2 linked regions of the Drosophila melanogaster genome follow. The protein of the gene in region 2 interacts with the protein of the main gene of each other region in a pairwise test. Each region holds a gene or a part of one and is shown on either strand. Other genes may lie near its edges.

The links.
Region 1: the proteins of Sgt1 (region 2) and Rcd-1r interact in a two-hybrid assay, tested with the Drosophila melanogaster proteins (one large-scale study listed by BioGRID).

What each region holds. Positions count from the first base shown.
Region 1 is NT_033779.5:9,012,228-9,015,807, reverse strand, and holds Rcd-1r (Rcd-1 related), read left to right. Parts: upstream 1-1,739; 5' UTR 1,740-1,885; coding exon 1,886-2,758; 3' UTR 2,759-2,923; downstream 2,924-3,580. Other genes in the region: CG13102 (uncharacterized protein), read right to left, coding at 2,965-3,182, 3,247-3,423, 3,487-3,544.
Region 2 is NT_033777.3:8,303,638-8,307,506, forward strand, and holds Sgt1 (suppressor-of-G2-allele-of-skp1), read right to left. Parts: upstream 1,638-3,869; 5' UTR 1,486-1,637; coding exon 949-1,485; 3' UTR 553-948; downstream 1-552. Other genes in the region: nac (neuronally altered carbohydrate), read right to left, coding at 1-151, 212-288; tex, read right to left, coding at 3,866-3,869.

The sequences.
Region 1 (3,580 bases), on a different chromosome or scaffold from region 2:
GTGAAAGTTGAATAGGTTTGGCTTAGTTATCAGAGGGTTCCCGTCTTCGTTTTCGCAGGAGGAAATTTTCTGGGGTCTCGGGCAGGTTGCTCCATGGTCTCTCAATGCATAAATCAAATGTACATATTGTAGTTGAAGCTAAACTTAATTTAGTTTCCGGGAGTTCCCAACAAGTTTCGGATATCGAGGGTGGATTTGGAGCACAGATAAGGGGAAAGTAAGAATATTCCTGGTGGTGCGGATGTTTGATTTTTGAATCTGGGTAGGTCTCAAATGTAAGCAGTAGTTTGTATTCAAGTATTTAAGACTGTTACAGTTATTGGTTAAGGCAAGACAGATAAGAATTGTATCATAAGTGTTGACTTTCCATTGTTAACAACTATAATTTCTTAGTGACACTCGTTTTGATTCGCATATCTCGAGGGAACAATAACTTCTTAAGCTTGCCTATAGTAAAACTATAGTATTGTATAGCTAGTCCTGAGCCAGCTGCTATAGCCGTGACCATAGTCATAACTTTGTTTAGCAAACACATCCATTCCCATTCCGAGGCACACATGAAACAATTGAATCGAAAAGAAACCAATCAGTCAACAGGGGTATTCCCCACGTAACCCACCGAGGGCTGCAAAAAACCAGTCAAAAAAAAAAAAAGTAACAATACAAAAATTAATTGATGACGTGCACACACGCATACATACATGAACACTCACACAGCCACACAGATGACGCACCAACACTAATTGGCAGCAGGAACAACGTGGACCACATATGCATGTATGCGAGGATATAGCCTGGAAGTCGATTTGATAACCGTGCACGATATGATGGGCGGCATGGATCCCTTCCGCTTTGGTTATGAAACATCCGAAAAAGGGGACGCTGTAACGGGATTTTGGAGGCGGCTCGGTGAAAGGGTGAAAGGGGCGTGAACACGGCCAAATCGATGCAGACATAGACGAGCAACAATCAATCAATTAAATGCCTGAATGCAGCTCCAAACAAACCGAGCCACGATAACCATAACATGACCCACCGGATAATGTTCGGCATGCAAAAGTGAGATTGACTTTTAGGCAGACGGCAACACTATTAAAGATTTATTCTTGTTTCTCGGCTCGTTCGAATCTCCGATTTTCTCTGGGATAGTTGGCCAATTTATGTGACGGACTGAAATTTTTAAAGCTCTCTGCAACAAACAAAATTGAAATGTTGCACGATGTGGCAAAGAATACATTTTCTGTTAACCATTTCTGTATTGGCAAGTAATTCCAGAAATGGACAACTATTCCAAGCATCCATCTGTTTAATGGGTTAAATGCGAGATAAAATATTTGAAAATTTTAAAGGCAAATATTTGTGTGTGCTAGAATGATTTTTGATTTATAGTATTTGTCAATACGAATTCATTAATTCTAAAACTGGTGTCCAAAAGTACTTAATGGTCATTAAGCCATAAATCGGACCTCCATCAGATGCGCAATTAGTCTGGCCATTTCAGAGAGCTAAGCTATGCTATGACATACTTAATAGAATCATAAATTTTAATCATCTACCGATTAATACTTGTAAAATATAGAGAAAACGTGAATTTCCAGACGAATTCCAAGCTGCCAATCAAATCAATGGTGATAAGAAACAAAATTCTGGGAGACATTCGAACAAGAAATTATTTATTAATTTATGGCATTCGTGCGTTCCTCGGCTCTGGCCACATTGTTCGGCCACGTGCTTTCGGTCCTTTCTCGCTTGAAGCTTATATCGATAACCACAATAGACGCCAACTCGAAACCACGTTTCTCAATCGTCCGTCGAAATTCCGGAGCCAGATCTTTCCAAGCTACTAGATCTTTGCAAGCTAACGCGAAAAAAAACCAGCTTTGCGATGAGTGCGGAACCAAGTCCGGTAATGAGTCCCCAGCAGCAGGCCGAGCGGGAGAAGGTGTACCAGTTGATCATCGAGCTGGCCTATCCTGCCACGCGGGAGACCGCTCTGCTGGAGCTGAGCAAGAACACCTATGCGGACCTGGCCCCCATGCTGTGGAAAAGCGTCGGTACCACCTGCACCCTGCTGCAGGAGATCGTCAACATATACCCCATAATAACGACGCCCGTTTTGAAGGCCAACCAGTCGAACCGCGTGTGCTACGCCCTGACTTTGCTACAGTGCGTCGCCTCGCATCCGGAGACTCGCCCGGCCTTCCTGCGGGACCAGATACCGATGTACTTGTACCCCTTCTTGTCGACCACGTTCAAGAGCAGGCCCTTCGAGCAGCTGCGCCTGACCACGCTGGGCGTGATTAATGCTCTGGCCGAGACCGGTGATACGGAGGTCCTCATCTTCCTGATATGGAGCGAGGTCGTGCCTCACTGTCTGACCAATATGGTCAGGGGATCGAAGCTGACCAAGATCGCGGCCACTTCAATCCTTGAGAAGATACTGCTCGATGAGATGGGTCTGACGTACATTTGCGAGAACCACGATCGCTTCTCGCAGGTGGCCATCACCCTGGGCAAAATGGTCATCCATATGTTGAAGTTTCCATGCCTCCGGGTGCTGAAGCATGTGGTGCGCTGCTATCTACTACTTACGGAAAATGCGCGCGCTCGCAGTGCACTTAGAGTGTGTCTGCCGGATCTGCTGCGTGACGGCACCTTCACGTCGCTCGTGCAACATGACACGTGCACCAAGCAGTGGCTGCAGATGCTGCTCAAGAACCTGCAGACAAACGCCGTCAACCCAATGGGCTCCTCCTAGAGAAGCGCCCAACAACTTTCGTCACTCCACCGTCCATTCAAGCGCCATCGATTAGTGATACCCACTCCTAGTTAACTGCTCGACCGAATAAACATGGCCTACATAATCTACAAATGAAATTATGATATTACTAAAATTGACGGTACAATAAAAAATATCAAATATAAAATATCATAGCTCCTAGCTCATATTTATTAATAGTCACACTAGGCATACATCTTGACCAGCAAGAGACCCAGAACGCTAGACGCGATGGCAATAGTGCTGCTGCTCATCTTTCCGGCCGGATTCTTGTTGCACTTGTCGCCCGAACAGGTGAGACACCAGGTCTTATTGTAGTGAGCATAGGCCGGCTTAAGTGCTAAGCTGCAGGCTCCAACATTTGGATGCACACAGCCATGGAGCTGATGGATCACATCGTTATCTGGCAAGTGGAAAGTAGTTAATAAATCTTTATAGTCCGCTTCTGGGGTCCCCACGCTACTCACTCCAGTTGTACTTCAGAGCCAGGCAATCGAATCGCGTGCTGGTTAGGTTGCCAACATTCTGATGATAGACACCCAGGTAGTAACTAGTCTCATTCGCAGCCGCATTCGTGCAGGTGACTTTCTTGGGACTCTTGCAGTCCTTTGGCGTTACGCAGGTGTAACACTTCAGGGAATCAGCTATAATCCATGTTAAAAACAATCAGTTGATCTCGAATTTCACATTTTACGCAATTGACTCACCAATTTGCACACACACAAAGGCCACAAGTATGCTGACTATTAAAGCTTTCATATACATTTTGGTTTAAATATTTTTACTTCACACTTAACTGTA
Region 2 (3,869 bases):
GGGGTACTTCCTGCTCAGCCGACTTGCCACAAAACATATCACTGTGGAAACCACGCATTGGAACCAGGACATAAAGAGCGGAGCTCCCAGGTTTACTGTATCGCTGCTCAGCAGGTGCTTATTTACGAATACCGTCAATATCGAGGTGCACCTGTGGAAGAAATGGAACTGCAGGCGGCGCACAGATGGAGGGTTCGCACGCATTACTCACCAGTAGAGCGACACGACGAAGAATATCTTTAGGTATTTGTTAACCAGCCGGTTGTGCTCCTCCAGATTCTTGTACATTTCGGAGTTTTTAGGAATTGCAGAGCAATTTGTGCGAGCCAAAAGTAATTGTGCGTTTATTTTTACACGTATCTGCTACCCGGTCTGCCGATCAGCTGTTTTCGCTGAGAACGTTTCGGTTGAGTGCGGGGGTGGATTCAGCAGTTGTTCGTTGTGAGATAAAATGAATAATGAAATAAAAACAATCAGCACAAGAGTTCAACGACAGTTTCTTGCTCACCTTTATTGTGCGTTTTCAAAATGCTCTAATTGAAAAAAGTTGTTGAAAACTGTTGATTTAAATTTATTCGTTACAAATTAAATACATACATTATCCAAATCTTATTCTGTCGAGTGTTTTAACCAAACTTGTTACAGAAATAAAGTGCTATGATATAACAAAATATTAATTAAAATACATTTATGTTGTGAGGTGCTCGAAAGAGTGTTTATGTGGTGGATTCATTAATTTATTTTACAGCCTAGTTCTTTTCTAGGAAATATAAACATTTTTGTGTTTCTGAAGTTCCTTTAATGCGTTTATTGCCACTGTTTTCCTTATGATACTCCTCTGTACTTGCTAATTCAAGTCGACAATCCCCAAAATGTACACGTTATAGTAATTATTCTCTGTTAATCTCTCTCGCTGACTCTATAAATAAAGGAGTATGGCCATTTCGCCTACTTCTCCCACTCGCGGAACTCGGTTCCATTTGGAGGCTTCACGGTGACTCTTTCTTTGCCCACCTCATTCCAGTTGGTGCTGAGCACGGTGCCTCCGGACTCCGAGAAGGACTTGTTCATGGCCTTTTGGACCTCGGGCGAGGATGAGCTGTAGATTTTCTTGAACAGGTTGGTGAGGGCCGCCTCGCCCTTGGCCTCCTTCTCGTCGATCTTTTCCTCCTCGCTGACCAGCTGGTCCCAGTTCTTGGCCTTGGGTTTCACCGGTGCAGCCACGATGGCCTCCTCCAGATTCTCCCACCGAATTCCCGTCTCCTTAGCCAGTGTGATTTCCACTTTGGTCGAAAAGGCCTTGTAGGAGGAACGCTCCACAACAATGGGATGAAGCAGCTTCAGGTCCAACTCGTAGCCATCCGCCGTCATGTGGACTCGCTTCTGGGTAATCTCCACAGCATAGTTCTTATCGACGGCGTTCTTCAGGAGCACGGTGATGACCACCTTGGTCTCCGACTGGTACCAGTCGTGGCGCACGGACATCTTGCTGCTTCAGCTGGTACTGGAAATTGGGAATTGTTGAGGATTCCCCTATAATTGCTTTCGCCCACTAAACGGGGTTAATTTTATTATTATCTGGAATTATCTAGAATTCAATACAAATGAATGTGACTAAAGGCAGTGCTACCAGATATAAAATGATTATCGACAATCGATTTTTTGTAGCTTAAGTGGCAGCGCCTATTAAGTTTCAACATTCAAACGTCGATATCGATAAGTATCGACGAACCGGTTCAGAAATCAGGGCTGTGAGCGTGGAATAAGGTGTAGCAACGACTCTAACCTTAATGGAACTGTTGGTGCGGCAAGTAATTTCCAGCACTGCAAAAACTTAAATTAAGGCGCCAATTTCCCTTTTACAAATTTGATTTTTTTGTTTGAACTTTTCATCACGATTGAAATAATTTCAACAGACTAGAAAGTTGTCAAAGACAAAAAAAAGGTTACAAGTTCTTTTTTGCAAGGATACAAATCCACGGGAAATTATTTGAAATCTGCTCACACCAACTGCTCACTTCAACTGCAGCCAACTGAAAACAAAGTTCTAGCCAATTTACGGGCACTTTAATTTCGGTACTTCGCTTTGGGGAAAAAACAGCAGTCGAAAGCGCATAAGTCCCGACGACAGCAAACATAAATTCCAGTCGTCTGGATCCACCCCCCTAAAGAAATCCGCATAGTCAAAGTTTGTCCAAAGTGACAGCAGAATTGAAAAGTGTGCGAGGGGCTGGGCAAGTGGCCCAGAAACTATTTACTGCTCTAAGTTTTATGACTTGCACTCGACTTTTTTTGTATGCTTGCCTTTCCGATCAATTGACAATTATCTTGTGAGAATTGAAGAACAGCTGCTAAAATTCGGAAGACACGCCACTTTTGCATTTAAGTGTGGCAAACAAATTTATTCACAACATAATTTTTTCTCTTAACTTATAACTTTACTCTAACATTATAACTTCGCATATTTGCATCTATAAATAAAATAATAAATAAAACTAAAATATGAAATATGGAATATACAGTTACATTTACATTTCACGCGTGTTTTATGTGCAATTCCTGTACAGATTTGAGAAAATGTCGAGAATAACATTTTATTGCATTCATTACATTTCATTAACATTTGCATGCGAAGGGGAAAATTTAACAGAAGCGTTCTATTCCATATTATTATAGAAATGTTATATTTATCGCATGCGAGAAACCGAGCTATGTAAACTAACAGTCTGCATTCGCGCTTAACAGCTGTGCTGAATAGAGAGGGGTAAGCTGGCTGTTAAAATTTGACACGTGTACACGGTGTACATAAAACGACGTAAAAATAAAGTAGAAATGCTGTTTCGCTCTGATGAGAAAACCAATTGGAAAATATCTAGCCAAGTCAAATTGGAATTTAGTAACTAAAGATTATAAAGATTTATATGTACAGTAAATATAGGCAACGAAAGCAAATGAAAACTATGGCTATTTAAAGTACTCATCACTTGGCCAAAAACACTCTTTCACTGCTTCCACTTACGACAATTAACTGTAAATTATATTTTCCATCAAACGCAATCCGCTCCCCTCCCCCCGGCCAACGAACGCAAGCTGGCATCTCGAAACCGAAATTTATCGAAAACTTTTAGTAAAGCAAATATTGACGTGGTTTCGAGTGGTTGGATGGCTGCGCGGGTGGAGGGGATTGGAGTGCGCTGCACTTGGCGGGAAATGCACTTGGACGGCATACAAATGGCGATGCTGCGATGCGAGTGATGATACAAACGACGTGTTAGCTTGCTTGTTTGTTTGTCACTTGCGCCGCGTGCAGAAAGTAAGAGCCCACCCACTCCCACTCGCGCCAGCTCCACAAAACTTGACCTTATGGCTCTCCAGTTTAGCTGCCTAATATGGTCGTAGCGACCATGCACGCCAGCCAACATCTTTCCGGGATTGAGCCCTCGAAAAGCTGACACTGATTAATAGCTTAAGAAGCAGGAAGCCATTGCCGTAAAGCTAGCTACATGCATTGGGTCAGCATTCGCATCCGCCAGCGTCGTTATTTGCATGATAAAAGCAAAGTGCTTGCAACGTTCAGCTGCGCCGATTGAGCAGCTCCTGGAGCAGCAGGGCGCATCAGCTGGGTCCGGCAAAGCCATAAAAGCGAGCCAGAGATGATAAAACCGAAATGGCTGCCACGAACACGTCCGCCGGCGAAGCCCTGCAATTGATAACCTAGAATGCTCGCTCGGCTAGCAACGTGACCCAGTTAACACGAAAGTGCATCATCGACGGTCAGGTACGTCGATAAAGTCACACTCGAAAAGGTAATTGGAAAGCAAACAGGGTGGTCTTTACCATCAGATGCGCCTTAAACTAGGTTACTTTAT